Medicago truncatula: one gene and its partners. The protein of the gene in region 1 binds, or shares a complex with, the protein of each later gene. Links are inferred from orthologs where the notes say so. Each region holds a gene or a part of one and is shown in the gene's direction. Other genes may lie near its edges.

The links.
Region 2: mediator of RNA polymerase II transcription subunit 9 (region 1) and mediator of RNA polymerase II transcription subunit 13 share a complex: the UniProt entries of both Arabidopsis thaliana proteins name them as parts of the mediator complex. The link is inferred for Medicago truncatula from reciprocal best matches to the Arabidopsis thaliana genes MED9 and GCT.
Region 3: mediator of RNA polymerase II transcription subunit 9 (region 1) and mediator of RNA polymerase II transcription subunit 8 share a complex: the UniProt entries of both Arabidopsis thaliana proteins name them as parts of the mediator complex. The link is inferred for Medicago truncatula from reciprocal best matches to the Arabidopsis thaliana genes MED9 and MED8.
Region 4: mediator of RNA polymerase II transcription subunit 9 (region 1) and mediator of RNA polymerase II transcription subunit 30 share a complex: the UniProt entries of both Arabidopsis thaliana proteins name them as parts of the mediator complex. The link is inferred for Medicago truncatula from reciprocal best matches to the Arabidopsis thaliana genes MED9 and AT5G63480.

What each region holds. Positions count from the first base shown.
Region 1 is NC_053049.1:5,734,956-5,743,122, reverse strand, and holds the start of mediator of RNA polymerase II transcription subunit 9, read left to right. Parts: upstream 1-4,802; 5' UTR 4,803-4,862; coding exon 4,863-5,192; intron 5,193-5,286; coding exon 5,287-5,349; intron 5,350-5,558; coding exon 5,559-5,639; intron 5,640-7,578; coding exon 7,579-7,637; intron 7,638-7,716; coding exon 7,717-7,774; 3' UTR 7,775-7,798; intron 7,799-8,167. Other genes in the region: uncharacterized protein, read right to left, coding at 994-1,194. UniProt on the Arabidopsis thaliana protein: Component of the Mediator complex, a coactivator involved in the regulated transcription of nearly all RNA polymerase II-dependent genes.
Region 2 is NC_053044.1:41,139,420-41,147,448, reverse strand, and holds the start of mediator of RNA polymerase II transcription subunit 13, read left to right. Parts: upstream 1-4,281; 5' UTR 4,282-4,435; exon of another isoform or gene 4,436-4,560; 5' UTR 4,561-4,601; coding exon 4,602-4,625; intron 4,626-6,026; coding exon 6,027-6,100; intron 6,101-6,182; coding exon 6,183-6,322; intron 6,323-6,459; coding exon 6,460-6,546; intron 6,547-6,770; coding exon 6,771-6,858; intron 6,859-6,935; coding exon 6,936-7,016; intron 7,017-8,029. Other genes in the region: elongation factor P, read right to left, coding at 1,293-1,343, 1,456-1,469, 1,592-1,622, 1,703-1,900. UniProt on the Arabidopsis thaliana protein: Component of the Mediator complex, a coactivator involved in the regulated transcription of nearly all RNA polymerase II-dependent genes.
Region 3 is NC_053046.1:4,594,803-4,603,022, forward strand, and holds the start of mediator of RNA polymerase II transcription subunit 8, read left to right. Parts: upstream 1-4,760; 5' UTR 4,761-4,926; intron 4,927-5,497; 5' UTR 5,498-5,590; coding exon 5,591-5,894; intron 5,895-5,975; coding exon 5,976-6,100; intron 6,101-6,182; coding exon 6,183-6,366; intron 6,367-6,684; coding exon 6,685-6,798; intron 6,799-6,888; coding exon 6,889-6,953; intron 6,954-7,611; coding exon 7,612-7,917; intron 7,918-8,220. UniProt on the Arabidopsis thaliana protein: Component of the Mediator complex, a coactivator involved in the regulated transcription of nearly all RNA polymerase II-dependent genes.
Region 4 is NC_053044.1:48,894,931-48,902,494, reverse strand, and holds the start of mediator of RNA polymerase II transcription subunit 30, read left to right. Parts: upstream 1-4,062; 5' UTR 4,063-4,134; coding exon 4,135-4,485; intron 4,486-7,306; coding exon 7,307-7,396; intron 7,397-7,564. Other genes in the region: thylakoid lumenal 17.9 kDa protein, chloroplastic, read right to left, coding at 646-866, 1,715-1,784, 1,870-1,984, 2,072-2,316. UniProt on the Arabidopsis thaliana protein: Component of the Mediator complex, a coactivator involved in the regulated transcription of nearly all RNA polymerase II-dependent genes.

The sequences.
Region 1 (8,167 bases):
ATTATAGAGTCATTATCCTAGTTGACTTGTCATTGTAATTGTAAGAGACTTAAAAGATGCTTTCTCTGCCCAAAAACATTGCCAACTTTTCTGCTTGTTTGACTAGCCCCTCTCTTCTTATCTTATCACTTTCTTTTACCATTGTATACAGCTTTTTGGTTTTCTCTCCAATCCATTACTTCATTTCCAAGGTGATGATCAATAAAGGGACAAATCTTTTTTCATTAGAGTTTTTTGCATGTAAAGATGTAACAAAGTGATTAGTAGTAGTTTATTACGTTAGTTGGTGTTTCCAAAGTAATTGTGCATGAGTTGATTTTGGTGAAAAATAAAGTGTTTAGTAGCGAGGAAGGTGAAAAATAATTATGAAGAATGCTACAAAAAGTGTCAAATTATGTGTACCATCCTCCTTTTAAAAATGAAATGAGCAATATAATCACAATCAGCCCAATGACAAGATTAAATAGGGTAAATCCACTCGTCTTACAAAATCAAAGATCAAGTGCATACTGTGTACAATTTATTCTTTTTGTAAAAGATTACATTCTACTCCAACCCCCTTTACTAAAACTTACCATTAATAGTAAACAACAGAGTGGAACACTGATAAAAATGCATCCAAAGTGAAGCTACTAATTGTGGCTTCCGAGAAATTGCGGTGAAATGACCCTTTAAAGGTGAAAATTGAAAACTGGAAGCCGAACCAAATGTATACAAAACTACTTCACACCAAACCCATGTCTTGGCGAATTCAAATTTTGAAAAATAGATTAAAAAACCACTCAGCTGGTGTTTAGCTTTGTCTCAAATCTTCATAACTTCTTAAACTACAGGAACTTTACAAATTTAATGAAATCTTGCTACAAGGACTCGACGAGGTTAATACAGTATCTTCTGTAAAAACTATAATTCGCATATGGCCTCTTATCTTTCGGTTCAACTAACCGAATAGCAGATACTGAACTATGCTACTTTGAACTTTGGAAAAGATAGTTATTTTGTGGACTGTTGAGAAGGATCTTTTTGCTCTTGTTTTGAACCAGTCACAGCTGCAGTTGCTGCTGCTGTCATGGCAGCTGCAGCCGCGCCCATCTTTACACCACCTGCAGCCTTCATTGCACCTGCTATTTTAGCAAACGCCGCTATACCTCCAACAAGGATGGCTCTTAATGCAACTGTTGGTTTTACTGCCATAGCTACTAAGAAAGGGGTAACCTGCAAAATGTAGATCAAACTGATACTTTTCAAACTAAATAGTTTCACAAATCACGACACAAACATAGGATGATCATGACATGCTACATTAACACCATCATGGTTTCCATCAACCGAGCAACATTAACAACCTAAATGAATGCACAGAGACTATGATTTACTATTTACAAACCTGAAATGGATGAAAATTCATTATATATATATATATAGGGGATGTATCAAATGAGAGGACATGTTATTGTGAGAGGATGAGAGGACTCATTTATAGCCATTTAGTTCAAATTAAACGGTTCAGATTTAATGCTCCATATAAAATTAATTACACATGATATTTTATCCCCTTCTAATTCGCTTCTCTCCCTTACTCCTTCTCCTTCCTCCTTCTCTATCGGTTTTCACCTTTCTTCTCTATCAAGCTCCATGGCTCAAACCCAATTTGTTGTACCAGACATACACAGCATGATAAAAGAAAAGATAAAAGAAGTTAGTTTTGCCAACATTATGATATAATGTATTCTTGCCAACATAGAGAGTGATCAAACTTCACTTTATGATATAGTAAGCCTGGAGTCCAAAATAGAGAGTGATCAAACTTCACTTTATGATATAATGTATTCTTGCCAACATTTTAAATTTGCTCCGATTAAGCTTTTGTTAAAAGATTTGAAGAATGGAATGCCTAACAAAAAACCCCTCAAAGACTAATCCCTTACAGAAGTTTAAATTTGCTTCAATTAAGCTTGTGTGAAGATCTGAAGTATGGAAGGCCTAACAAAAAAATCCTGGAAATTTAAAATGACAACAAACGCACCCAAGCCTCCAAAAGGTTGGTGTTGAAAGTACATCAGAATTTGTTAAGACCATCAGAAGTTGATGGTCTTAACATTTTAAATTTGCTTCAATTAAGCTTGTGTGAAGATCTGAAGTATGGAAGGCCTAACAAAAGCTTAATTGAAGCAAAAGGTTGGTGTTGAAAGTACATCAGAATTGGTTTTCGCTAACATCTATCGTCCAAAACAACTTTGTCTATTGGTGGACTCTAGCTTTTATCTCTCTATTTTTTTTTACTGAAAGATCACATATCATAAGCCAAAACAGCTTTAACACAACAAAAAAACTAAATCAACAATTCCAATGTTTCCCATCCATCATCATTACAGAAACATTTTTTTTTTTTTTTCCATTTGTCCTATTTCTTCCGGTGTCATCAAGGCGCTTCAGAGAACCATGTCGAAGGAACTCGGAAAAATGACACAGTAACTTCAGGAGAAAGGGAGCTCTCTTGTGGCTATGATTTACGGAAGTATCCTAGGAGGCTCAAACTCAAGAGGAAATCACAAATAATAGCGGTTTGTTCAAATTCCACTACATGACTACACAACAAAGCTATCATCTCCGCTATTTAACAAAATGTTGTACTAAATGGCGTATCGTGGAACAATGCCGATTTGTTCAAATTCTACTGCGCTATAACGCTAAAATAGCCGTTATTGGACAGCGCTGGCCATCAATCAAGATATCTCATTCTCATTATACTAGTCTGCAAGGTTTGCATAGTTGCATCATATGGGTGGCAGGGTCGGGAGAAAAGGACTAATGTGGAAGCATAAGCCAAACTCAATGAAAATTATAAGGGTGTAAAAAAAAATAGCATTGTACAAAAACCTCTTTTTCTCAAACTCATTGAACATGAATTAAGTTGAAGCATTGATAAGTTAAAACTTAAAAAAGTCCTCTTTGTTTTCATTTTCCAGTATTAATTAACTTCTAATATCACAAATTCACAATCAACCCAGCTAAATAAACCCTAGAAAAAACATAATTTTGCCCCAATTTATAATCTTGATCAAATTCTTTAGGAATGAATATCTAACAAAACAATTGAACATACAATTTTGATGGCATGTAGAATATATACTACGCAGCCAGTTGATTAAAGCTTAAGAGGAAAAAGAAAAAGAAAAAGAAAAAAAAGGGGGGGGGGGGGGGGGGGGGGGGATTAAATTGAAAAATAGTGAAACCTGGAATTGAAAATGGAGGTTGATATGATGAAACCTGAAAGATGAAAAACCTTTAGAAAATGATTATTTGAGGATTGAAATAGAATTGAATTGAACAGACACAGTGAATCTAAACCTTAATGTTTCCTTGTACCTCGGACCTTGAAATCAGGAGGTGTTGTGTTGTTTCTTTCCTGCGGCTGTGTTTGGTGGTAATAACATGAAGGGATTTTGAACACAGTTTTTGTCCTAATTTATGATTTATAAAGGGTTGGTTATTTTTGGCCCCATTTTAATTGTTACTTTACTTTTTTTTACTCAATCTCAAAACAATGGTGGCTATAAAATATCATTATTATTTTTTATTAATATATTTTTATTTATTGAATTTCACCTCATTTAATCATTTTATTAATAACAATAATAATAATTAAAAAGACTATTTTAATAAATAATACTCATTTTATCATTGTGATCAATTTAACTAATTATTTGTCTAAAAAAATCTAACTAATTATTTTAAAGAATCGCGCACAACCCAAAAATAATAATTAAAATAAGACGGAGGAAGTGAAAGACTAAAATTCTAATTACTTATAGTAGTTTAAAGTAGAACTTTAGAAATTTGTAAGAACTTTTGATTAGAATTTAAATGGATTGATATTATAATTTTTATAGGATTTTAAATGAATTTATGATTTATAAGATTTAAAATGATCGGCTGAATTTCAAACAAATATTTAAAAGAAATGATAGGACACTCATTTCTATTTAATATTATTATAATACAATCATTTTTAATTGTTAAAATTCAAATAAATTTCACTAGTTTTTGTCTTTTATATGAATTTCAACAAATAAAATAAAACTGAATGTCTTGACAAAAAAACGAATGTGTTAAAAAAATTGCAAAATTATCGGAGTCCATAAAAAATAATAACAAAATAATAAGATTTTAATAAGAAAAGTTAAATCTCATAATTTAATATATTTTAAGTACTACTAGAACACGTTCCTCTCTTGCGAGCAAGCTTCACAAATTAGTACCTTTAATTTTAGCGTTGAATAATTTGCAAATACTAGATACATCTTTAGATAAGTTGTTTGGAATTGATGGGTAAACCATCACTCAAGTAGTAATCATCATGAACATATTGAGTTTGACTTTGACCTAAATATTTCTATTGTAGATAATGTAAGAGATGCATCTAACCAAGACTATGAATCCAATTCTATTTGATGCTAAAAATTAAATCACAATGTTATTAATGATATAGAAATAGTACTTGCAAACTTTTTTTTTTTTGTAAAGAACTATAAATTTTAGTTTCTGTTGGTTAAAAAATACTCCATCCATCCTGCAATAAATGACCTGTTTGAAAATGTGTAATTTTGATCTATCTTATTTTAACCATATTTTTCTACTAATATACAAAGATAAATAATATCATATAAGATGTCGTTAGATTCGTCTCGATGAGTATTTTCAAAATATCAAATTTTCATAATTTTTTCTAATATATTATTCAAGATATTTAAACTCAAAATTACGTATGCGTAATTGGGTCAACTGTCTCTGTTATTTAGAGATCGAGGAGAACACTTAAAAGAGGGATCGAATTGAAGCGAAGGTGTAAGGATAGAGCAATGGAACATTACTCTTCTCCCGGAGGAACATGGACGATGATCCCAACCCCTAATTCCAATCCCCAAATTCAATCTCAATCTCAATCTCAATCCAATCAAGACCCAAATCTTTATCTTCAACAACAACAACAATTTCTTCATCAACAACAACAACAACCTTTTCAACAATCTCAAACAACCCAATCTCAATTCCAACAACAACAACAGCAACAACTTTATCAACAGCAACAACAACAACGTATTCTGCAACAGCAACAGCAACAGCTACAACAACCTCAACAGCAGCAGAATCTTCATCAATCACTCGCTTCTCACTTTCATCTCTTAAATGTATGTTAACCCCTTCAAAAACCCTAATTTTAATTAATTTCAATTATTTTCACATTTTATTTAATTAATTGAAGATTTCTTGTTGTGGATATAGTTGGTGGAGAATTTGGCTGAGGTTGTTGAACATGGAAACCCGGATCAGCAATCAGATGCATTGGTATGACTTTTTCTATGTAACACTCACACTTATGATACGACACCCACACATGTGATTAAGTTGAATTAATTTATTTAATCAATATTTTTTTTTACGGGTGTCAGAGTGTAGTGTCATGTCTGATTCATAAGGCTTTTTATTAATTCGTCTCATGGTTATTTATTTGAATTTGAATACATTACTCATTATGTTAATTTTGTTGGTTGAAGATCACTGAATTGAGCAATCATTTTGAGAAGTGTCAGCAGCTGTTAAACTCAATCTCTGCTTCTATTAGCACCAAAGCTATGGTATCTCTTCTTTACTTCCTTTTGTTATGCTTTGATTTGATTTAATATATTTATTTTGTGTGCTTGATCATCAATGTAGTAAGAAAATAGTCAGCCGTTGTATTGGTAAAATTCAATGTTTATAGTAATAAGCTATTAAGCGAAGTACATAAAGAGAAGTGATTCGTTGACTCTAGGAGTAAGTATTTAGTGATACTACAAATCCTGACCTTAAATTTGTTATTAGTAATGACTGTGATTGATTACTATTATTACTCACGTGATACTCCTCGAGCCTGCACATGTGAGATGGCTTAGGTTTTAAAAAATGGAGAGCGATACCTTTAGATTATCATCAAAGGCCTATACCCACAAGCCATCGATTATGGTTATAAAAAGGATTACACACTCTTCTTAATCTTGATGCGGTTAGGTAGGTGGATTTGGCAGCAGCTACAGGTCTGTTATATCAGTTGTGGATGGGGGTTTTTGCTGCGTTTCTCTCTGTTTAGCGTAACTGCAGTTTGGTTTTTCTGGTTTTTTATGTTTTCCCGGGGTGCCTTTTCCTCCTGCTGTCTGTTCGGTTGGCATCAGGTTGGGAAGGAGCATTTCGGCCCCTCTTGTAGTTCCTCGCCGTTTTGCACCTCTGGTGCGTGGCTATTAATGTTATGCTGTTTCAAAAAAAAAAAATCTTGATGGTGAAAAAGTCAAATTGGGCTTTTCGGTGTTCATTCCAGTGTTGTCAATTGCGGAATACGGAAAATAGTCTTATGTTTGAATTTCCCTATACTACCGAGCTATCGCGCCACACTAGCAGCTATTTGACAACACTTTGTAGTAAATAGCTGATTGCCGAACAATAGCGTTTTATTCATATTCCGCCTGTACTGTTATCGAATATCAGCCATGGAGGAAATTGGTGGCCGTTTTGTGGCTCTCCGCAATGCCCAATTTTGGCAAATATGGAGGGATTTTATGCCATAATCTGATGTGACGGCGCCACAAAGCGGTCGGTATGGTGGGACTTTGGTTCTCTGCCACATACAGCCTTCTGCCATAGACAACACTGAATTCCATTATGCTATAGCGCTGTAGCTGCTATTTGACAACACTTCGATTTGAAAGTTCTATTTTGATCTTACCACAAATAATTGGGTATTCTGGCGATTATAGCATCTGATTGTGAAATATTGGTCATGCTTTTTTTTAAATTTTATACCTAGTCTTTGTTTTCATATCATTATCTCGATGGACAGAAACACATGGTATATGACATACCTTGATGATTAGAAAAGGAATGAATAAAACAAATGATTTCAATGACGCAATACATAGACTCAAGAAATATGGCCCTCATAAATTTCTGCAGGTTAAGCTGTTTTTTTTCGTGTAAAGTAACAAACAAACTAGGAAGGTGATGTTAGAGAAGAAAAGAAATCAGTGACTAATTGAAAAACCACTTGAGAGAAATCAATGACTAATTGAAGTATTTCGGTGTAACTCTAAATACGTACTCTCATAGATATGTGTGTGATTTTGTGTCTAAATTGACATTCTGTTAATACTGTTTAGCCCTGGCTTCATAGATAGTCAGATTTTTGTTTTTAATATTTATTTCCGGTCCTTCTAATAACGAGGAGTCGAGGACTCTTAAGACATTTGTTAAAGAATCAAGATTTAGAAAGCTTTTATTGAAAATCAAAGTATTCAAAATTCAATGTATTATTATTCATCTCAAAAGCTCCACTTCTGATTTCTTGACATTTTCCTTTTTGTTTAATAACATGCCCTGTGCATGATAAACAATAATTGCTGATGTTATTAATAAGAAGAATGATTCGTCTGCTCTCAGTTTTCTCAATGTGATTGTCCTCGAACCATTAAAAAGTTAAGTCTTTTGCTAGTAGTTTGAAGCCGGGGTTCTTGGCCTAACTTATAGCTTTTCGGTTGCTTAATCCAGACCGTTGAGGGACAGAAGAAGAAGCTGGAGGAAAGCGAGCAATTGCTAAATCAAAGAAGGTCTGTACAAATTGTATTAAATATCTCTGCTTGGTTAAGTCCATAGATTCTAAATACATGCTGTTTTCTTCTATTTCAGAGATTTGATTGCCAATTACACAAAATCTGTAGAGGAGCTTGTCAGATCTGAGCCATAAGAGCCTGTAATTCTTTTCAGACAGGTAATGAACCTTATATGAGATTTTATTTGTTACTACCTCCGTCCCTAATTACAAGGCCCTTTTGAAAAAATAACGGGAATTAAGATAGTGGATATTTGTATTAAATATGTTTGTAATTACTATTGTTTTTACAATTTTATCCTTTAAGAAAGAGGGTTGGCTTATGTTTTCAACATTCTATTTATTGTTGATTGAAGAAAAAGATGTATAATGGAATAGGGGCATGTATGTAAAGAAATAATTAATGTAGTTGAAAATAGAAAAGGGGTCTTATAAAAAGGGACAAAAAAAATTCTCAAAAGAGTCTTATAATTAGGGACGGAGGTAGTATTAGATTGCAGCTTCCATGTTTTACTGGATGTGGATTAC
Region 2 (8,029 bases), on another chromosome or scaffold:
TGGTAAGTTAGAATAAAACCTAAATCAACACTCTCTTAAAAAAATCATTACTTGATCAAATTAAACAATATAATCCTTTGAGATCATGTATCAATATCTATGTTAAAGGTACGAAAAATTGTGTATTCATCAGTTATTAGTTGATCCTAATCCTTCAATAAGACTGCTTCATGGAAAACTGTTTTCCTATGAATCATGTGTTGCAAAAATACATCTCTAACATTTCGCCATTTCGGTCAAGCCAGTAAATCTAGTAATCTACAACTAAAACTTTCCTACCAAAGGGAGAGGTGGATTACAAAATCTAGCATGGCATATTTTGCAACAAGAAGTTGGTTCTATGTGTCAAGTATGCAGCGCAGAAGGCACAGATTTACCGATAGAGAGAGCAATTACCAAAGATATAAATTCAAAGACTCAGAGAGCAAATGGCCAAAATACCAAGTCAGTGTCTTGTTACAACGCACACACACAATAACCAAATATGTTAATGAAAAAAGGAAATATTTTAAAACATGAGAGGCCGTGCCCCTGCAAGTATTTTACCTGAAATAAAATGCAGAAAATAAGAAAATACATTTTTCCTTTAAATTTATGGCAAAAAGGCCTCTCATAGGTCAAATAAAAGCCATCGTAAATATATAAAATAGTAATAATTCTTTTAAAATATAACTTGCACGTTAATATTCAGTATTCACTTGGCTAATTTTGTATTAAAGGCAATGTACATTTATGCACACATCACAGCATTACATTTCAAACTCTAATAGTAATGGATGAAAAACCAAGGCCCCGTTTGAATATACGGCTTAATTTGCAACTTAGCGCTTATGATAAGCTATTTTTATAACAAAAGATAAAGTAAAGTTAAATTATTTTCATATAAGCTATAAACTATTTTCATAAGCTATTTTGTAGAGAGCTGAAAACAGGTGTTTATGTCAATAGATAACCTCAAATAAAGGTTGGATTAGCTTATTTGAGCTTATTTACTGAAATAGGTTCTGTGATACTGTATGGGAGAACTTAAGAAAACAGCTTATGACAATTTTCAAAGCTTTTTTCAACTTATTTTCATAAGTGCTCTGATATACTCATAAAAACAACCTATAGCATATACAAAAACAATTTCTTTATTTTATCTTTTGCTATAGAAATAGCTTATGTGAACTTATACGTAAGCACTTATCATGATAGGTCAATCCAAACAGGCAGCAGATAACATCTGTGAGCTGATAAATAATGATTGGGAACATGTAAAATCTTGAATAGAAAAAAGAAAGAAAAAAAACCTTCAGTGTGGCTTTTCCTCGTCCTTCATGAGAATGATCTACTTTAAGAACCTGAACAAGTTCACAATATAAAAATAAAAAATAAAAAAAAAAAAGTCTTCAATAACAACATTGAATGAATGAATAGAAACTGATAACAACTCGTCAAGAAATGAATTATTACCTCGTAAATGCGCCCTGGAATTAAGCCATAAAATTTGTGAGTAAGAAGAAAATAACTAAATACGCGTAAGAAATTGATCAAATGAACAATCAAATACGAAATTTCAATTGAATGATAATAGAAAAAGCAAAGTAACCTTGTTTTCCGATCTTTTTTCCGACTCTGATCTGCAGTGAAAAATGTAAAAAAGTATAAGAATCGGTAAAGATTTAAAAACAGTGAAAGGTGAAGGTGATGCGATGCGTACATCAGAACCAACGATTTTGTTTCCACGTCGTTGAATGATGGACCATGGAGTGGTGAAGGAGTTGGTGGCGGTGGAAGAATGTGGTAATGAGTTTAGCGGAGAGGAATAAGAATGAAATTTGAATGATGAGAGTGTAAAGAGAGATTTGAAGTTGGAATTGTAGAGGAGTTTCAGTTTCTGCTTCATTGCAGCTTGCATTTTCTCACTCGAGCTCGCGCCGGAATAACACAAAAACCCTGGGTACCAAGTACGCACGCACGCACTTCTTAACAGATCGATGGAATATGAATATTATGACAATTTTGTGATTGAGCTAACGGTCTAAACTGTGATTTAAGTTTGAAGTTTGTAATAAGATTGATGTTATTTTTGTCGCATTCAAATTCTCTAAATTTCAGGTTTGTAATAAACTAATACTCTAACTTATTTTGATCATGCTTTAGTCATTATGTCACATTATTGTCGCATGTCACAGCATCTTATCTAATTATTTTCAAGGTTATTATTGTTTTTACATGTCATCCGGCTCTTAAATATTTTTGTTGACTAAAGTGGATTCAAAACCCCCGTTGTTAGGATGAATACTCTTATTGCAAGAGTTTGACTTGGAAATTCGAGATAAGAAGTGAGCAGAGAATGTAGTGGTGGATCACCTCTCGAGGTTGGAAAATAAAGAGTTGACCACGAAAGACAAAACTATTGTAGCAGAGTTCCCAAATGAACAGTTATTCGCTATCAGTGGAAGGTCATGGTTTGCAGACATAACAAATTTCAAAGCAGGGAACTTGATCCCCAACAATCTGTCGCAACAACATAAGAAGAACTTCTTAAAGATAAATGTGTGGTTGTGTAATGAAATGAATCAAATCGTTTAGAGAATGAACAACATATTTATAGGAAGAAAAAAAAATATCGTAAACCCTACAACGTTGCCAATAAAGTCAACAATTGTATGCATTTTTTATAAGATGAACAGTCATATATGAGATCGTGTGTGAGAACGTAAGAAGGGACATATATATTGATTCATACAACACCAAGCCAATTACCAAAAACACTATCCAATTTTTTTGTTACAAATCCACTAACAAGAAACTAATTGTCAAAATCATCTAAAAAACACTCATATAGCACGGTGGTTGAAATTTTCCAACCATGCCTTCATCATCTCAAAATCAAAACACCAATTGCATGAATTTAATTGAACTCTCTCTCTCTCTCTCTCTCTCTCTATATATATATATATATATATATATATCTTGTTATCCATTTTCGGTTTCAATTTACATTTTTTCCCAATCCAAGGCAAGAAGAAGCAAATAGTTTGTTTAAAGAACATAAAATTGAAATGAGTGAGGAAATTATGGGGTGAGTTCTAAATTGGTAGGAAATCGAAACTTAGTCACCGACACGGTGGTGTTAAGCTGCGATGAGGTTAAGAATCGATGGTGGGTCCAGATTCTGCAAGCTTCTTCTTAACTGGGTTCCGAGGACTATTATGTTTGAGGCGTCGAAACTGGTGGTGGAAGGGGGGACGACGACCCTTTGATGGTAAAATGTTGGAGGTGCCAAAATGGATGGTGGAAGATGAGGAGAATAACAAAGCTTTAAAGGAGGAAGGAAGAAGGCTTCAAAGGAGGAAGAAAGGAGAATCATTAACTTGAGATATGTGTCTGTGACTTTGAGAAGAGGAGCAGAGATTTGAGTTTGATTTAAGTGGTGGTGGATGACGGGGGAATAAGGGAGAGGGAGGATAATAGGAAGATGAAAGATTTAAAGGGTATTTTTGCAATTTCACGTTTGTTTGAAAGCCTCAAGGGTGTTTTGGTATGTTCCCACCATCTTTTATTGAGTCAACGAGCCACTTAACCATATTTTAGTCGTCGTTGTTATTTTTTTATTGATACTCAATGAGATTGTGGTTATCTCTTTTACATGAATCCTCAATGACTTCTTCCTTTTATAAAGTTATTTATAATTTATTATTTAACGAATCGTTGCAATCCTAAAAAAAAACAATCGTTGTAACAAAACACTCACCATACAAAAAAAAAACACACACGCTACATCAATTTTCTTTCTTATTTGTAAGTGACACAAATCATCACTCAAACTATAAAGCTCTTGACCCGACAATCAATTGCTGCGTCATTTTAGTTAGTTTATCTTTGTTTTATTTTTGAAAAAACACTAAAAGTTAAAAGATTTTACGCACCAATTAAACAAAAGATCGTTGACTAGTTAAACTGGTTTGAGCTAAAAGATTAAAAAAGTTAAATTGTTAAAGGTTCAAGTTTTAACAAGAAAAAATATTAACATAACAATTAACATATTATCGTACGGTTAAAAATGATAATTAACTGCAATCGGTTCCATAATTCGACACTTAACTGCCGATGAACATTTCAGTAAATTATTCGTGTGACACAACTTTATACAATGTGTCAACAACAATTATGAATAAATACACGATATACAAATACTAGTATTTTTTTTTTTTGACACCGATAAAAAGTAACATTGTCCAAAAAATACCTTGAGTCTAATTCAATGCTATATATAAACACCAACAACTCTTAACTCTGTCATGAATACTGGAACTAAGTTAAGCGCGGTCACAAATTTCAACTCTATCGAGAAAACAAAAAAAAAACCCTACACTCGAGTGATCTTTGCGGGAATGCTGAATGAAGCGATTTTCGTAATCGCTTTTCAGTTTAAACGGTAAGCGAAGTAAGTATCAAATCAAACTCAGTGTTACATTTTCTGAATCAGATTCCGAATTCGCATTTTCCGTTTCGCTTTTCTAGAGCAGAAGCACGTTTACGCTTCATAAGTCTCACCCAACCCTAACGCAGATCCAAAACCCTATTCAATTCACCGGAACCGTTCATCAGCTATGTGGACCAACGTTTTCAAAATCGTACGTTATTTCTTCTTAATCTCAATACTCTTCTTCACCAATTCTCATTATTTTGCGTGTTTAGCTGGAATATGATAGTTTAGGGTTCAATTTCGTTTTAACCTAGTTAGTATATCACAAAACATGCTTTCATTTTTTCAGCTGTAGTTAATCTCATGATGATTAAGTCGGTTAATTTGTTTATGAACCGAAAACTTTGTAAATTATCTCATGTTTATTTTCACACAAGGTGTTTGTGTTGTTTTAGTTAGATTTGGTTTGTGAATGTTTAAATTTTTCTTGTAGATATATGTTTTATACAAATGAAAAACTTATTTGATTATGTTACTTGCTTTTTTCTTTCTATTTCATCATATACTGGAATTATGATTTTTTTCCCCGATCAAGCGTTGTTAGGGTTTACTAGAGATTACGTATTCGCTAAGTAACTACGTCATTCGATATTTGGTTGCCATGGGCTGGAACACTGATGATTGTGACTTTCTGTCGCCTTCATAATCACGTTTGGTATTGGTCCTGTTGGATTATGTTAATGAAACTGCGAGTTAGCTATATCACCCTAGCTGGTATGTGAATTGCCTGATCAAGAACTCGTCTTATGTATAAGATGTTTCCTTTTCTTTTTGATCGGTATTAGTGGCAATGAAAAGCCGTGTGTAATAAATAACACGGATATGGCAAGAAAGGTGTTCGGCGGGTGACCAAATTACTAGGAGGCGACACGTGTCCTATCCGACTGTTATTTTTTATTTTTTTAAAATAAATAGTAAATACATTAGTAGAACAATAAAGTATCGGCTCGTATTAATGCTAGGATGATGACAAAAATATTGTTTACTTGCTCGATCATGTCAATTAATGTTGTGGATCGATATCAACCTTCGTCTTGGCCCACCTGGTTTCATAATATTGTTCTCAAATAGTGGATCTATTGCGTAGTGGAATTTTAACAAACTACAATTGTTACGCTATATGCGATTTAATTGTGACACTATAGCGCAGCGGAATTTTAACAATCTACTATTGTTACCCGATATGCGATTTAGTAAAAAGCACTATCAAATAGTGGTATAGCATAACAGAGTTTGAACAAACCGCTATTTCATCGTTCTGCGATTGACAGCACTAGGATATATAAAATAGAAGAAAAATTGTCTGTTAGTCTAATGAAAGATCTCAAGGTCAAATCTCCTTCTCCAAGAATAATATCATTTTTAGAAATGAGTGCAAAAGGTTAAATCTCAATGCTGCTGTTTAGTTAGCTTTTACCATAAATTAATGTATATTCCATGCTCCTCCATTTTTGTTCACAATTTATTTGGTTGTCTTTATATTTATATAACTATGTGTATATTGTTTATATTTATATAACTATGTGTATATTGTTTGAAATTTGTACAGGGTAGTCTGCATCAGATATCATGGTTTCAGTTTCTCCCTCACGAACCTGATCTGAACCCTCTACCTGACAAAAGGTTGGAATATATTTTCTATTTCTCTCCTTCTTTCTGCTTCACTATTTTAATATTATTTATGGGCCATCTTCTGTTCAAACAGTGTAAAAGCGGACCAGAAGGATGCTGCAATGTTAGTGGTGCTTTCATCACATTTGCAACTGCAGAAGGAAGGATTTCTCAGCGCATGGACCAATTCTTTTGTTGGACCGTGGGATCCATCTCAGGGTTTGCATAATCCTGGTAGAGATTGCTGACTTATTGGTTTTGTCATCTGTGATTATTTACAGTTTTATTGTCTTTTTAGCAAAAGGAAAGAACGGAAATGGTCATCCATTTTCTTGCTACCTAAATTTCTGCTTTCTGTACTTAACATGCAGATGAAAAGATTAAGCTGTGGCTTTTTCTTCCGGGGCGTCATTTAACAGTTTCTGAAACTGCTCAGCCAGCTTTAACTGGATTACGAGGTATCACACTTAACAGAACTGTTGTATTGGGCATATATGTAATACCCCGTTAAATAATAAAGTTCAAACAATATACAACAAATATTTAATAATATAACAATCCCATTTATAGATACCGGGATGTTACAGTATACATTTCTTTCGTCAAAGATAGTGGCTTTGTAGCTTTTATACTTCTGTGTTTTTTGAAAACACTCTTACACGGGAAAGTTTTTTGGATGAAGCTGTCGCGTCTGGGCTCTGGCTCGCTCCTGGGGATTCAGAAGAAGTTGCAGCCGCTCTCTCTCAGGCTTTAAGGAATTGCATTGAAAGGTTTTTCTCCCCCTCAATTCTTCAAAGTGATGTTAAATTTGGTCATATCTTGCCATTTATCTTGTTGAATTTGGCAGAGCACTGCTTGGGCTTTATTACATGAGATTTGGAGATGTATTCTTGAAGGTCCATCAATTTCAAAGTGAAGAACTGCTCAGGTATATTTTTACTGTACTTAGATTTAACACTTTTGGCTAAATTAAATCTAAATATTTCACTAATATTTACAGGGTTATGTACACACACACATATAACAAGTGAAATATAATCTGAAAAGGAAACATTATCCTATAATTTTGGAATCAAATCAGTTACCGACTATCTAAGGGAACTACGAAAGCTAATAATAACGAAATCTGATTGCAATCAACAGTACAGAAAAAAAAAGTGTTAGCTAGCCTTTACTTTGTCCCCGGGCAAGCGGAGATTATTCTCACGTTGTCAGTGGGGAACATTGTGGGCAGCCAGCAATGATCTGAATAAAAAAAATATTAACTTGTTAAAGAGCAACAAATGATGTGTTCCCGTTAAAAATGTAATAAGTTATTTTATAATAAGTAGTTGAGTCAGGATGCATTGACACCAGGTGTTAATGTTTATATTGACACCAAATAATAGCTGTTGATTTCTCTTAATCTAACGTCTCATATTCACTCACTTAAAAAGTCACGTGGTGTCTTCTTCTGGATTTTACTCATCGTTTTTTCCTTCTAAGTTATTCTAAAAAGAACCTCGACGTTGATGCTTCATCCATGTAAAAAGAAGCTCGACGTTGATGCTTCATGCATGTACTCTACTATTTAAATCTTAATTACACTATTTGTGTGTAAAACAAACAGTGATAAAGAAAAATTTCAATGCTCTGTCTCCGAAGTTTGTCAAACAACCTCAGAATAGAAAAGCTGGAACCGTTTCGAGGAATCACCGTAAAAAAAAGAAGGTAGAATGCAAAGGAACCAGATCTACGAGTACAACCACCGTGCTACTGTCATCAGCTCACTGTGCCACTGTCATATATATTTTTTTAGGAAGAATTTGCCGTCTTCACGTTCAACCACCGCCAATGGCACACCCCTCTCTTTTGTCACCCAGTTCGCCCGGGGCAGACTTCTCCGGCCTCCACCGACCTAAGGTCGGCGAATTTGTTCATATTCTATTCGCTCTCTCTCTC
Region 3 (8,220 bases), on another chromosome or scaffold:
ACTATCAGACCTATCAATTTGACTGTTATAAATATTCCGAAGAAGTATAACAAGCATTCATATGAATGACCTAAAGAGTAATACCTTATCAATAAATTGTCATTTTTATTAACAAATACACTACTGCATAATGATAATAAGTGTGATGCACATACAAAAATGTTGCAAGAGATATCAATAGAAGCAAACAGTTACAGATCATAGCAACAATTACAGACTTAAGAGAAAAGTGAGATATTAAAAATATCATTGTCCAAGAATTAGAGTAGAATAGCTTAAGAAATAATTGAGATGATGAATGTAAATGACTGAAGCTAGCTCGGTATTTATAGTATTAATGTCGAGTAGGAATGATGATATGTTATTTGGAAATTGTTCCATATCAGAAACAGTGCACCACGTAAAACCAATGGCCACATTGCATGTGCAGAGAAACTGAAACAAATAAAAGGGAAGGATGCAAATTGGATATAACATGGAATACGAATGGGTACTTATAACAGGACTTAGGCAGGAACATACATAGGAGGGAATGATACTATGGTTGGCGGTTGAGAATTTGACGTAGGTTTTGTTATTGTTGCAACCTATTTTAGTAATTTACCAATCATAGCAGAAATAAATTCCTGTCCTGAATGCTTTACTTGTTTTTAGTTTGTTGACAGACCAGGGAGAATTCGAGAGTCGTCTAATTTTTACCTAAGCAACAACTTTTCGTGTTGGTTTAAAGATTTTCAGCCCAGATTTCTGATAATATAGCAGTAACGAGGAAAATCTTAGTGAAATAACAAAGATGTTGCCTTGTCAGTTATCATCTAGCAGTGACATATTTGTGTCAAAAAAGCCCCTTTATGTACAAGTGTTGTGCTAAGGATATTGTCTTCCTCAAATTTGTAGCAACATTTCTTCTGCTTGTGGATCTAATCTATCTCCAGATGAGAAAGCATGAACATAGGGTCACATGACCATGTGCATTCAGAGGATCCAACTCAAGCAGTCGTGTGGCTGCACGTTTAGCAACATCTGCATCTGTTTTACTCATACCACACACTCCAATCAATGCCCCCGAAGCAGTCGTGCGAATTGACAGATTTATTCTCAATATTGTAAAATGCTATTCAAAATGATCCTTCTGTTAGCTTCTATCATTAAAGATTATGACATGTTATGTTAACTAGATATGTCCCCACGTTGATCCAATACATGTTGTCAACTTATTAGGGACTAAATAGTTTACGAAGTAATTTATCAATAATTACAAATATGCATGAACTAATTATTGATAAATTAGTCCCAAAACTCCATATAAATTTCAATATAGACAAACTAGTTTATACTTCATAGTATGGTGACAATGATGTGAGATTCTATGTCATACAGTCTAAGGGTAATAATCAAGTGACTATTTTCACAAACATTTTAGGGTTAAATATGTTTTTGGTCCCTATAAATATGTCAAATTTTCGTTTTAGTCCCTCTAAAATTTTCCTTCAACTTTTAATCCCTATAAAGTTTTCAATCTTCACCTTTGGTCCCTCTTTTAAAGTAAACTCATATGTAGAATTCATATTATTTAATAAAATTTTCCAGAAAAATTCAAAATATTATAAGAATGACTCCAAAAAAAATTAATTTTTTTTTTAACAAAACATGAATTTAATATGAATTTTTATATTGTTTATGGTTAAAAATTCATATTTAATTTGTGTTTTGTTAAAAAATAGAATATTTGACACATTTCTGCACAATTTCATTACAAAATACAAAAATTAAATTAAAAATAGGGACCAAAAGTAGTGATTGAAAATTTTATAGGGACTAAAAGTTGAAGGAAAATTTTAGAGGGACTAAAACGAAAAATTGACATATTTATAGGGATCAAAAACATATTTAACCCAACATTTTACTATTACATGAATTTATTTGTTAGTTCACAAAAACCAAAGACTGTTTTAAGATATGCTTACAATTTTGGATGATAATTTACTACTCGTCTTAGATATAAGAAGAAAAAAAATCAAACAAAGTAGATATATATGGTTCAAATCTAACTTGTTTTGACTTTTTCTTCTTCTTATAGTATCAATCATGTCTTAAATATGTCATTCTTCATTGCACTTTGATCATATTTTGACATTAATTTCTACACTTTTTTGTATTTGACATTGGTCCATGCACTTTATAAAAAATTTACAATTGGTCTTTGTGTTAAGTCCAAGTTAAAAAAAGGCAAAGCTAACGTGTGTCATGTGAACCAATTATTACACGTCACATAACACACTAAAAGACAAAATTTTTAGAATTAAAATATTCCGAAGTTTTAGTATGAGTCTCTGCACTTTCAGTACTCTTTTATATTGGTCTTTTCACTTTCATATTGGTCCCTGAACCCTTTATTTATTTATTTAAATCTTTCAAATATATTATTATATTTGTTATTATTTTGTTCATTATTTTTATTGAGAATAATTATAAAAAATTCCCCTAAAAAGTTATAAAAAAAAAATCCTTCTTAAAAAACGAATAAGCTTTAATCGTATCACATCGTCACCTTTTTCTATAATTAACCATTATAGATTCTTTAGTAATGGCAAATCCCCATTAAAGTTTAAATCACCATTATTTATACAATATGATAGTGGCCAGTCGTATGACAAGTAGACAGACACAACAATACGATTGTACGAAAAAGAGACAAAATTAAACAATATGTCATGAGAATTCTTAGCTATTAAACATGTAAACTTGGAATAATAGTTGAATTATTATTAAATATTTTTTTAAATTTAATTTATTATTAAGAAATCATTTTTAGAGCAAATTACATTTTCCTCTTCCCATCATAGACGGGTAAGGATCTTATCCATTTATAAAAATAAATGAAATATACAATTTGGAGAGAGATAGAGATATAAAATATGTAGTGGATTATTCTTTACTACTTTTTTGTGTGTCTTTATCTCTTCAAATGGTAAAAATGAAGAGGATTTTAACTCCTTAAACATCCTCTAATCGAGTTAAGATCCTCTTCATTTATAAAAATAAATGGAGAATGCCATTTAAAAATAGATACACACATAAAAAGGTTGGGGGCCTTACTATTAAGCGAGTCCCACCATCATTAGTTTTTATTTTTATTTTTATTTTTATTTTTCATGTGTCATTGTCTCTCCAAATGGTACAAACCGAAAAAGACATAAATGGAGAGGATTTCACTCCCTCCAATCTTACATAAATATACATTACCCTCTCTTGAATGCTAAATATATACAAAAAAACAGGTTAGAATCCTCTCCATTTATGTGTTTCTCCATTTCTTCAATTTGGAGAGATAATACACATAAAATATTGAAAAAAGTAAAATATAATTAATGATGGTGGGACCCACTTAGTGGTAAGACCCACCATCTATTTTTTGTGGAGCAAATAGTCACTTTAGTCCCTGATTATGTAGCTCGCTGTCACATAAGTCCCTGACTCAAGATTAAATACAAATAAGTCCCTGACTCTGCACTTCCGTTATCACTTTAGTCCCTGACGTTAAAAAAATCTGTTAAGTGATGATGTGGCGCATATGAGGTGCACAGGGACCAAAGTGAAAGTAGAAAATGGTCACTTTGGTCCCTGAACCAAAAATCAATATGCCCAAATTGAAAATAAAAAATCCCTAAATCTTAAATTCTTAAATGTCATCTAATTATCTCTTTTGTTCAAAATCAATCTTTCATTAAACACCAACATACTGTTAGGTCCCTGACTGTGCATACTTACTATCAGTTAGGTCCCTGACAGTAAACACGAAATTTCACTAAAGTCCCTGGCTATTGGGACATTTTTGGCTTGAAAGCTGATCTTGAGGCAATGGTATGTTGGGCTAAAGTTTTGGAGTTTTTTAGTAGTGCCATAGTGTTGTGGTTCCGTTACCTCTTTCTCCCTTTAGTATATAATGACATCAGGATTACATATATAGATAAATGAATTATGAACGGTGTGTTTGATTATAATCCCCGTAAGTATTTTAAAGTCATAGCTTGATTTTTTTATGTGTCTTTAAACAACAGTATCCAATTTTTTGTGGAGAGATTTGAATAACTAATGCATATTAAGTTACATGAAAGAACTTATGCTTTAGTTGCTTTAGCTTCTCATGAAAGAAAAAAATTAAAGTGAGAAATTTGATAATAAACTTGGAAACATAAACAACTTATGTTAGATGTAGCACTAGTACCTACTATGTAGAACAAATTTCAAGTTAGAAATTATGTTAAAAAAAATCCAACATAAATGAATTATCATTTGAATATATCTTGAGCTCTTGATTACTGTGTATGCTGAGATCTACGAGGTAGAGATATGAATTATCACGTGAATATAACAATAATCAAGAGTAGTAGATGCTATTGGATTTGTTAATTCATTTGTCAGGGATCTAACTGATAGTAAGTATGCACAGTCAGGGACCTAACATTAAGTTATGTTTAATGGAAGATTAATTTTGAACAAAAGAGATAATTAGATGACATTTAGGGATTTGAGATTTAGGAATTTGATATTCAATTTGGGAATATTGATTTTTGGTTCATGGACTACGATGACCATTTTCTACTTTCACTTTGGTCCCTGTGACACCTCATATGCGCCACATCATCACTTAACAGATCTTTTTAACGTAAGGGATTAAGTGATAATGGAAGTGCAGAGTCATGACTTATTTGTATTTAATCCTGAGTCAGGGATCAAAGGGACAATTTGCTCATTTTTGTGTCTATCTCTCCGACTTGCAAAACCCAGAAAAAAAAACAGCAGGCTCGCGTTTCCTTTCCTTCATCTTTCCTTTCCTAACCACACACGCGTTTCCAGTGTCACGAACCCAACAACACCACCACGTCCACCGCCCACAACCGTTGCTCTCCTCTCCTCTTTCAGGTCAGTTTTGAAATTATTATACTGAAATTGAATCAGATATTGAAATTGAAATTGAATTAAGACAGTGATAGCAGAGCAGCACTGAAATTGAAATTGATTTTAACTTTTAGTGTTGCCTCACTGTCACTGATATTGGAAGCAAACCACTGTTTCATAAGAATCATCAATGCATTCAAAAAGTGATAACACATCATTATATGATAATGTGAAACCATATCAACCACAGTAAAATCAGAAGAAAAAAACAATTTCAATTGAGTTAATCAATCATCGAAGCTTCTGTTTTATTGCCACCTAAAAGGGGGAAAAAAAAGTAAATGTAAACCATTGTGATTTGTTTCGTTTGACTTGATTTATTGTTGATTGAAAACTGAAGGATTTGACATATCAAGTTGGATTATGTTGGGAAATTGTGTTACATTTTTCTGTTGCAAATTCTTTTTCAAACAAAGCGTTTTTATGGATTTTTTTTTTTTTGAGGAATAGGATAATCATGGAAACTGAAAATGTGGCTACTGCGAGTTGGTGCAGCTCCTCTGATGTGTGATTAACCTTTTATTCTATTCTGCAGTACTCTATATTTGTCTGTGGTCTAATTTTCGAGAGAGAACAAGAGTTGTTGCGTTGCGGGGATTGGGACGGACAAACAGAAAAGGGAAGAAGAATGGAGGGTGAGTTGGTGCAGCAGCCGCAGCCACAGCAGCAGGAGAGATTGAACCAGGCAGTGCAGCAGCAGCTAAACCTAGAACAAGTAAAGACACGTGCTATCAGCCTGTTCAAAGCTATATCAAGGATTCTCGAAGATTTTGATGCCTATGGTCGCACCAACACCAATCCCAAATGGCAAGATATTCTGGGTCAGTATTCCATGGTCAATCTCGAACTCTTCAACATCGTTGACGATATCAAGAAGGTCTCCAAGGCTTTCATAGTCTATCCCAAGAATGTCAATGCCGAAAATGCTACAAGTATGAACACATAATATCTCATATGTATTGTACACTTTTCATCCATTCACATTTCAAATCACCGTGACAATGTTTTATCAGTACTGCCTGTTATGCTCTCCACAAAACTACTCCCTGAAATGGAGACGGAGGACACCTTGAAGAGAGATCAATTGCTTCAGGGGATGCAGAACCTCCCAATTGCCACTCAAATTGACAAATTGAAGGTTATCTCCCCTTTCCACTTCACATCTACCTTTCCTCTTCCGTCTTCCCTCTTCCCTCTTCATTCTTCATTCCCTCTTGCAGGCTAGAATTGATATGATTGCCGCAGCCTGTGAAGGTGCCGAAAAAGTATTGGCTGACACTCGTAAAGCTTACTGCTTTGGAACTCGTCAGGGCCCTGCCATTGCCCCCACTCTCGACAAGGGTCAGGCTGCCAAAATTCAAGAACAGGAAAATCTACTCCGAGCTGCCGTCAATGTTGGCGAGGGTAATAATTTCACCTGCTTCCGCCTTGTACTATAATAAATATATTTATAGATATATCACAACCAATGGTCACTCTTGTTCTAAATACATATTAAGATCTAAAATTTCTTTCATATGGATAATTCTGCTAATGTACATTTGTCACTGTTTGCATTAGACTTGGTTTAGCTCATAAGGACTTCTTGAGTACAAGAAGGTGCTATTGGTTGGCTTGCCTTGAATAAAGTTTTTGTTTGTTGAATTTAAACTTTCATACCAATGACTCTCTAAATCTGTATCTTTATGGTGATTTTTTTGGATATAATGGAACTTCATGCAGGATTGCGGATACCTGGAGACCAGAGGCATATAACTGCTTCACTTCCTATGCATTTGGCAGACGCATTTACGGTCAACGAGAGTGCACAATCTTTTCCTGACGGGTCTAGCAATAGTAAATCACTCTTCTTAACTCTCCATCTCCAAAATATTTTGATTTTATAATTTGACTTCGAGTGGCATTTATATATACTATTACTTTCAGATGTGTATATGAAGAATACCCCATTGTCATCAAACAGTATGGGCGGCCAAAATTCGTTGTTACAGGTCTGGTCATTCACATTTCGATGAAGGTTTTATGAATGGATATTTGACTATCTTCTTCACTCTTGTTTTTTAATACTGTAAATAAAGGGTATATGTGAATTATGGTTACTTATGATTTTGGATTTTCTTGCTTCAAATGATTTGCTTTCTACCTTTTCATATCCGGTTTCGCGATTTTGAAATATTCTACGTCATAGTCTCATATTTTAATTTTATATTTGAAAACCCATCTGATCCTTATTAGATTGAACTTGAAGGACAATAAAATTTGATAAATTGCACAGCTACTTTAAGCGGCGCTGCATGGTTGATTCCTCATCTAACCCTATTTTTTTTCTATAGATGAGGGGCCACACATACACATAGGGAGGGGGAAGGGTGGAAAACCTGGGATCAAACCCAGGCACCCACATGAAACCTCCTCACAACCAACCACTAGACTGTAACAATGGGGACAGACTAATTTATTGGGAGAAGGCTCAAACTCTCACCTCATCTGGCCTATTTGATTTTTACCTCTCGTGCACTTCCCTCATTGCCGAACTTTTAAACCTATGGAATGAGAACTAATTACTTCATTTGGTGGATTGAAATTATGAAAAATATCGATTTTTCTAGTCGTAAGTTTTTTAATCTTCTCACATTATTGCTAATGTAGACATCGGGATCACAACTTTTGGGAAGATCAGCTGCATCTCCTTCTGCTGCAACCAGCGCCACTTCTTTTGACAATACAACAGCTTCACCAATTCCATATGCCAATTCACCTAGGTCTACTACAAATATGATGAATACGCCATCCCCTCAGCAGCAAACCCCACAACCGCAGCCGCAACAGCTAACAGCACAACAACAGCAACAACAACGGCAGAAACTAATGCAGCAGTTACCTCAACAACAGCAGCAACAACTTCTTGCTCAGCAACAATATAGGCAATCTGCGATGCAACAAGGACTGGGGCAGGTAAATTTTGAAAATAAGTATTCTTCATTGAGTGAATACAGCCCTGAAATGACCTAAAAGACTAGTTAAAGTAGACCTTGTTTACTTTGTGAAAAACATTTTCTATTTTCTTTTTCTAAAATTTGTGTTAATTTTTACTTGTTAATAAGAAGAATTGAGACTCTTGAAGTGAACCATTGTGATGGAGAGAAGATTGAATGCTAGTTAGAGATGATACATTACTGGAAATAACTAAAACAAGTCTTTTCACTTTTTCATTGTTTCCGAAAAATATAGAATTTTTTTCACTTTTAAGAATCTTTT
Region 4 (7,564 bases), on another chromosome or scaffold:
TGGAGAAAGAACAACTAAAGGAATGTGGTCAAATCCAAGTTTTTTGATGCTGTGACGTGATCTTGATAATTGTTTTCTAAGATGAACAATGGATAAGGCACATAACTGACAACCTACTGCTAGTCCTATGTAAAGTATGTTTTGGGGAGATGATTTTTGAAGCATGATTCATAATGTTCATGAAATAATACTTGAACAATAATTCTCAACCAACCTTAATATTTTCCTAAAAAAACTTGGCAATAAGGTGTATTAAGGTTATAGCTTACAAGTCACAATAGACAGGTTATTTTTTCATCTTATTCTAAAAAAGAAGTAGCCTTAATAACTTCAAGTCAAAACAGGAAAGAGCAATTGGAAATGCTAAACAATGAATAAGTAGTAGGTTGAAATAAAAAATAGCTCGGACTAAGATAATCATCGAACGGTTAGGCTAAGTTAAATGCGGCAAAAGCTAACACAAACATCCTTAGAAACTGCTATCAAACAAAATATTTATAAAATTGTTTATAATAACAAGCATTAAGCTTAGCCGCAAAACAACAAAGGCCATGAAATTGTATATAATAAGGAAGAATGTAATAATAAAGGCATTCAGCTATACACAAACCAAAGAATTAAAGCAACATAAAATAGAAACATTAACTACTCCATGGAATCAAAACTGGGAGCATACCAGCCCAATTGATCATTAATTTGCTTGAGTCTTGCTTCTTGACCCTTTGAATCTCCAAATGCAGTAGTGAAAGGGTATATATAAGTCACTTTTGCTGCCATACACCTAAAGGCAACCACATCACCTTTCACCAGAAACTCAAGTACGTCTCTATCAAATTTTCCATCAACTTCAGCTTGCAGATACTGTCCTGTATATTCATTTTAGCATAAATCAAGTTTTGCCTAGTAGCTTGTAAAACCAATGTTTTAATTAACTGAACCATACATCAAATCAGAGAGACCTATAGGTCATGGTTCAACAACTTTAAACAGCTCAGATATAGACGAAACTGCAATCGGATCGTTCAAATAACCTAACTGTAGACAGTGCTGATTCACGATTCAAGCAATTGAACTGTCTAGTTTGGTTCAGTTTTTAAAACATTGTGTAAAACAATTAACCCTTCCTTATTGTCTTTGGCCTGACCTAGATAAAATCATTTATAACGTAATACATAAAATATATTACAACTTTCCTTGTTCATCACTAGAGTCTAAGAATAAACCATCAATTTATTTCTTAAATTATCACACTCTCTTCAATTTAGTCCTGAAAACGTATAAAAATTATAAGTATTGAAGTTGAATTCGAATCCCACATTGACAGTGTTCCTAAGTTGTGCAATGTGCTGTGTGCATATGTGTCTGTGCACCTTCATCTTACCAGCTAATTTTTGAGAGTGAGATTCAAGCTCATTTGACAAGGCTTCAAATCTGAATTTTGTAGGGCATGTGGAAAACGAACCTAGGCATTGTATATAAGTAGTGCTTGGACTCCCTCATTTGATGAGCTAGCTTTTGGAGTCCATTTAACAATAGTCCCTAAAATATATAAAATTCGTCATCTTAGTCCCTCAATTGATGGTTCTTTTTCTTATACTTCAATATTATTTAATTATCATGTTCTACATTTTCATTGCTAATTGGCTACAATTTCTAGCAAATAACAACAACACCAATGGTAAATTGATCAAAAACAGAACTGTGTTTGAATTACCATCTGGGGTATCTTCCACGGGCTGAAATTTCACATTTTTCTGAGTCTCTAGAATTGCTTCACGTAGTCTCTGAAAAAGAAAATTATGAACAATCACAACATGAGATAATAAAAATACACAATGCTTTTTGAACTCTGAGTAATAGCTTAGAAACCTGAATAGCATTATCCACTGAATTTTCAGGAACCGTCCAAGGAAAATCAAAAGATGATGACTTCGGGTTTGTTGATATGCAACCAGGATTTATTGATGGGCAAGGTCTAATTTTTCTGCAAGAGAAAGGTTACAAATAATATTATATAGAATCCATGGTATTAATTATGAAGCATATATTATATAGAATCCGTTAAGCATACCCATTTTCTAATCCAAGTTGCAAGTTTTTTGATTGAGAAAAAGGGGTGGTACTAAGAGTGGTTGGAGGGGGTTGAGAATTGAGGGAAGGGATTGCATGAGAAGGTAGTGGAGATGTTAATGTTACAGCAATGGCTAGAGAGAAGAGATTTGGTAGGAACTTTTGTTTATTATCAGAATTGAGTTTGGGAATGGTGTTAGTGTGAGTTTGAGGAAGAGGATGGAGAAGACGAAGTATCAAACTCATGATTTTTATGGAGTCTTCTATCCACTCACTGCATCATGTTTTTGCTCCATTCTTTTTCAGCCATAGGTGACGATTGTTCTGTTGAAATGTTGATCCTTTCTGAAAGGCTGTTATTGTTCACCACATAACAAAAGAAAAATATAATGTATAAGGTCTAGGATTTGTCAAAACAATGTAGTTAGAAAGAGAGATCTTAATAAAGATGGTTAATTAAGTTCTTCCACGAAAATTAAAGACTATGACTCCAATAGTATAATTACAAAAGTGAAAGATCTCAATTGTCATTTTTTAGTTTGATTAAAATAAAATGTAGTTGATGGTATCCATAAATTTCAAAACAAACACTTATAAGAGCTTTCCTATATACTACGAGAGATATATCGTGAAGACATCACGATAAGATACATATCAATCATAATATATTGTTTTGCGCAAAACACGATGTTTGGGTGCAATACAAGTGAGTAAATACATGCAGTACTCTTTTCGTGAAAATTTTGCTTGAATTATGTCGCGATAAATAACATTTAGAACTATATATTTGTCCTTCAATCCAAAGAGAAAGGTAAGCAGAGTATAATTGTGTATCATTCCTACTATTTGAGGAGGTATACGTAATGGAAGGGATAAATCTTTGAGGAGTCGGATCATTCAGTATCGAGGTTGTAACGTTGGTAGCAATCCCTTCCATCCTTGCTTCTTGTCTTTGTCTTCGTATTAAAAGTCGCTACTTGCTGGTTGTTGCAGAGACGATGATCCTCTAACTAGGTCAAACATCTAATGGATTGGACTTAGGCTCGATGCCTAACAAATCATGGCAATCAAATTCCATCCCCGATTGTCATGCTTTGAATCATATTCCACCTTGTTTCATCCTATGTTGCCTCGCTTTGAATCATATTCCACCTTGTTTCATCCCTCGTTGCCTCGCTTTGAATCATACTCCACCTCGTATTGTTGAAACTATTATAAATGTGGACAATCATATATTTCTTATTATCTCGTCTTATTACATTAAACCATTTTTCCCTTACAAGTCTTATATTTGGGGGATTGTGGATTGTCATAAAAATATTCCCATTTTGACCCATGCTTGCTTCATGCTCTTTGTACTCGACCCATACCCATATGATAATCCTCATATTTGACCATACTACTACTATCTTGAGAGCTCTCTTACTCAGTCAAACCACTTTGATCCTTTGACATGATATTAATTGCGTAGTGGAGTGATTTCTAGAAGATCCCTAAATAATAAGAGAGGAAGTTAGGGTGACAACTCCTATAAATAAAGTCCAACTACTCATAATTGAAATCTACATCCTTCACTATCTCTACAAACTTGGGGTTTTTATCACGATACACTATTGACAAGATCTTACCTCATAAAGAAAATGAAATGTCACAACTCTCTTTTCTTATACAACATTTTTGTCCGAAAAAGTTTAGAAAAATAGTTCAAGTTGATCTCACCGCAAATCATTTGGGTTAATTGAGATTCAACATATACATTATAACTTATATTTTTATAATTTTTCAAATCTATTATTCATTTTAATAATAATCATAGTTGTAAATATATACTTATATTTAATCGTAATAGACAAAACAGTCGATATGTCCGAGTGGTTAAGGAGACAGACTTGAAATCTGTTGGGCTTCGCCCGCGCAGGTTCGAACCCTGCTGTCGACGTTTTCTTTTTTCATCTCATTTTTAATTTTTTCCGCCATGCTTTTGTTTTTTCTACTCATTGATAACGATCAAAGTTAGGGTTTGCAATTCCTGAGACTCATAAGATAGATAAACTTCGCATTGGAATGGAAGAACAATCCATAAACGGCACAATGTCAACCAAAACGACACAAGATTTAGCAATTGAAGGTCACAAATACTTAGAAGAAACCATACAACATGCTTTCAAGATACTATCTTCCATGAACGACGAGCTTTGCAATCCCGTTTGGTGGTCCACTTCTCCTTCCTCTGCTACCTCTCCCAATGCTCCTTCTTCAAACGGTGACGCCAATTCCGAGAATTCCGGCCAACACGCTGACGGCGCTGCTCCCAGTGGTGGTGCTGGTGGAGCTCTTGATGAAGCTCGTTTGAGGTATAAAGATGCTGTTGCTGGACTTCGGAGTGTTCTTGCCGCTATTCCCAATTCTCAGAAGGTGCAATTTCGAATCCCTAGTTTTCTAATTCGGGTTTTATTGTGTGTTCTTTTTGTTACTAGATCTAGATTTTTTGAATCATTGAACTTTAGGTTAGTGGAAAATCAATGAATTGGCAAGTCCAAAACTTAATTTTTAAACTCTTTTCTGCAGCAATAAGAGTTGCCAAGTTCATTGTAAAGATTGTATTCCTAATCTTATTTTTTCTTAAGTAACTATTCATCGATGCGACACACAGATTACCTTTTGCTATATATAGGAGAGAGAATCAAGTGAGAACTCATGCTTCTCTTGCACAAGCTCTAAATAACAGCCGCTCAATCGAAATTAATGGTCTGATCTCATTAAAATGTCACGCGTCTCCATATTCTCATCCCCTACCTTCATCCTCGCTTGACATATGCGCTCATCTTTCTTTGATGCAGCTACAATGAATTGCTTAATCAAATTTCAAAATGTAATTTGATTCTAATCTTTTCTAAAAATATTGTTTCCAGGCCAAGTAAAAAAATTAGGAAATCACAAAAATAGTTGAGACTAAACAAAAACAAAGATGCCACAGTCTTGTATCAATGAAAAGCTCGTGGTTATAATCATTTAATTCAATTAAATAAAAGGTGGAAAAAAATTGTAGGGTAGTCTTAGCGTTGATAGGTAATGGATAGAATTATGCAATGCCACTCATGAGAGACCATCGATTAGAGCATACAATACCGTGTTCATATGACAGAGTGGATAGTATTGTTCAGGTTAATGAACAAAGGGGAAAGATTGAAGATCACTACATTTTTTTTAATCCTAAACATTGATTTTGAATCTTTGATTAAACAGCTACTATTGATGGTTCATATGTATCACAATAAATATAGGTTATCACTTAATATGCTCCCTTTTTTTGGCACACACTTAATATACTTGTTCTTATTTTGTTTTCTATTTTATAATATTTAGATAGGAAACCATAAAAACAATTCAGTACGTCTTTCAAATTTTTTTCCGAATATTTCAAAATAGGAAAGGGAATGAAAGCAATGTGACATTTTTTGTAATTATTGATAAAAATTGGAAATTCGTAAATCACACAGGTCCTTTAGTGGTCACTGTGACTAGGCCATGCTTTGGCATATTCTTTGCGATTGATGTTGTGAGTCAGTTTCATAAGTTCATAACTCTCCTAGTGGTGATATCTGGGATGCAATTATCTGAATTTTGTGATACTTTAAGGTCTCTCCCAGGAAGGATTTAGTATTAGTATATCACAGGCAATGTTCATAAAATTACAGTCGTGTATAACGTTGTTGACTGGGATGGATCTCCCAATCAAGTAGAACATAGTTGCCAACTCATGTGGTGAACTGGAGTATTGAGTCATAACTCGCTCTACGTTAGAACTTTTATAAATAGAACAACTCCAATATGAAATGTGATTTATGTTAATTGTTGAAATTTGGGGCCTAACTCATCCTTAAAAAACCGGCTTGTATTAGTATTAGTATATATCACAGGCAATGTTCATAAAATTACAGTCGTGTATAACGTTGTTGACTGGGATGGATCTCCCAATCAAGTAGAACATAGTTGCCAACTCATGTGCTCAACTGGAGTATTGAGTCATAACTCGCTCTACGTTTGAACTTTTATAAATAGAACAACTCCAATATGAAATGTGATTTATGTTAATTGTTGAAATTTGGGGCCTAACTCATCCTTAAAAAACCGGCTTGTAAGGTGAAGAGTGCCTCCTCTTTATAAACTCTTCTCAAGAGGGCTATCTATCCAATGTGGGACTAAATCCACCCCCTCAAAGCCAACACAATGAAGGTGTTGGAGGCTGCAATGAAGGCTAACCAAAGGTCGCAATTTAGGCGACTAGGGGCGGACCGCAATTAAGGCGGAATTTCCAACATTAATCTGTGATGATCTACCAACACCTCATATTGCTTCAAATCTGGCTTTCCGTACGATATTAGGATGAGCTAATAGAAAAGGACAGCAGGAGGTATTAGGATGAGTTTCTTCACCTTGAGTGAAAATCTGAAAATACTTCAGATTCAGAGTTCATCACCTTGAGAGGAAATCTGAAAATACTTCAGTTTCAGAGTTCGGAGATATAAATTGAAATCTTAGAAATGAAGTACGACTACATGATGGTATTTTTTTCTACATATGCACAAGGGCTTTAAATTTATACCACAGATAAGTTTAACACATGATATTCCGGTAATAGCGTAACATGATGAAAAATTTGAAAACTCCTATTTATAGAACCTTATAATGTTGCAGCACCGATTGGAGCATTGAGTGGGCTAACGAATGAATTTTGCTTTTTGACTTTGACTATGTTTTATTACTTAAACTGCTTAAATTCAATAAGTAACTAGCTATAGTTTTGTTCTCTGAATTTTTAGCTAATGAATTGTGAGTTTCAATTCCTTTAGATATCTTTCTGGCTTGGTAAGAGACAATAAAAATCTCTTTACACCAAGGTTTGGTTTGATGTCTTTTTAAAATGGGGTTGAAAATCTTAACAGCGACTAAATGAAAAACTTCATGAGACTGTGGTAAATTACTAAATAAATTCCGAACTCACTATTTTTATATTATTGCACCTCTATTATACTGCTAGGAAAAAGATGCTGCATTAAAAGAAAATTCTATTCAGAAATCAGTGTCTTCCTTACATAGACTTAAGACTCCATATTCTGTTAAATGATCGGGGTTATTGACTCACAAACGTGCATCTTATTGCGAGCTGTATGACCATCATATTAGCTAGCAAAGCTTTTGTTTTCCTGTTAAACTAACTTGGTTAGTATTATAGGCAAACACATTTGACGGTGGTTCAGCTGACAGCCCTATGGACGAAGCTGAAATTGAGAAATTGGAAGAGCAAGCCTCTTCTTTGAGAAAGGTTTGTTGTATTAACCTCTGTCTCTATCCTTGATCACACTCTTTCCAAACCCCAAACATCGAATTTATTATTTTAGTCTCGGGTTTTACTGTTTTAGTTCATCGGAAAATACCTTTTTCATCAAACTATGTCAGCTGCAGTTAACAGAATCTAATGACATTCTTATGA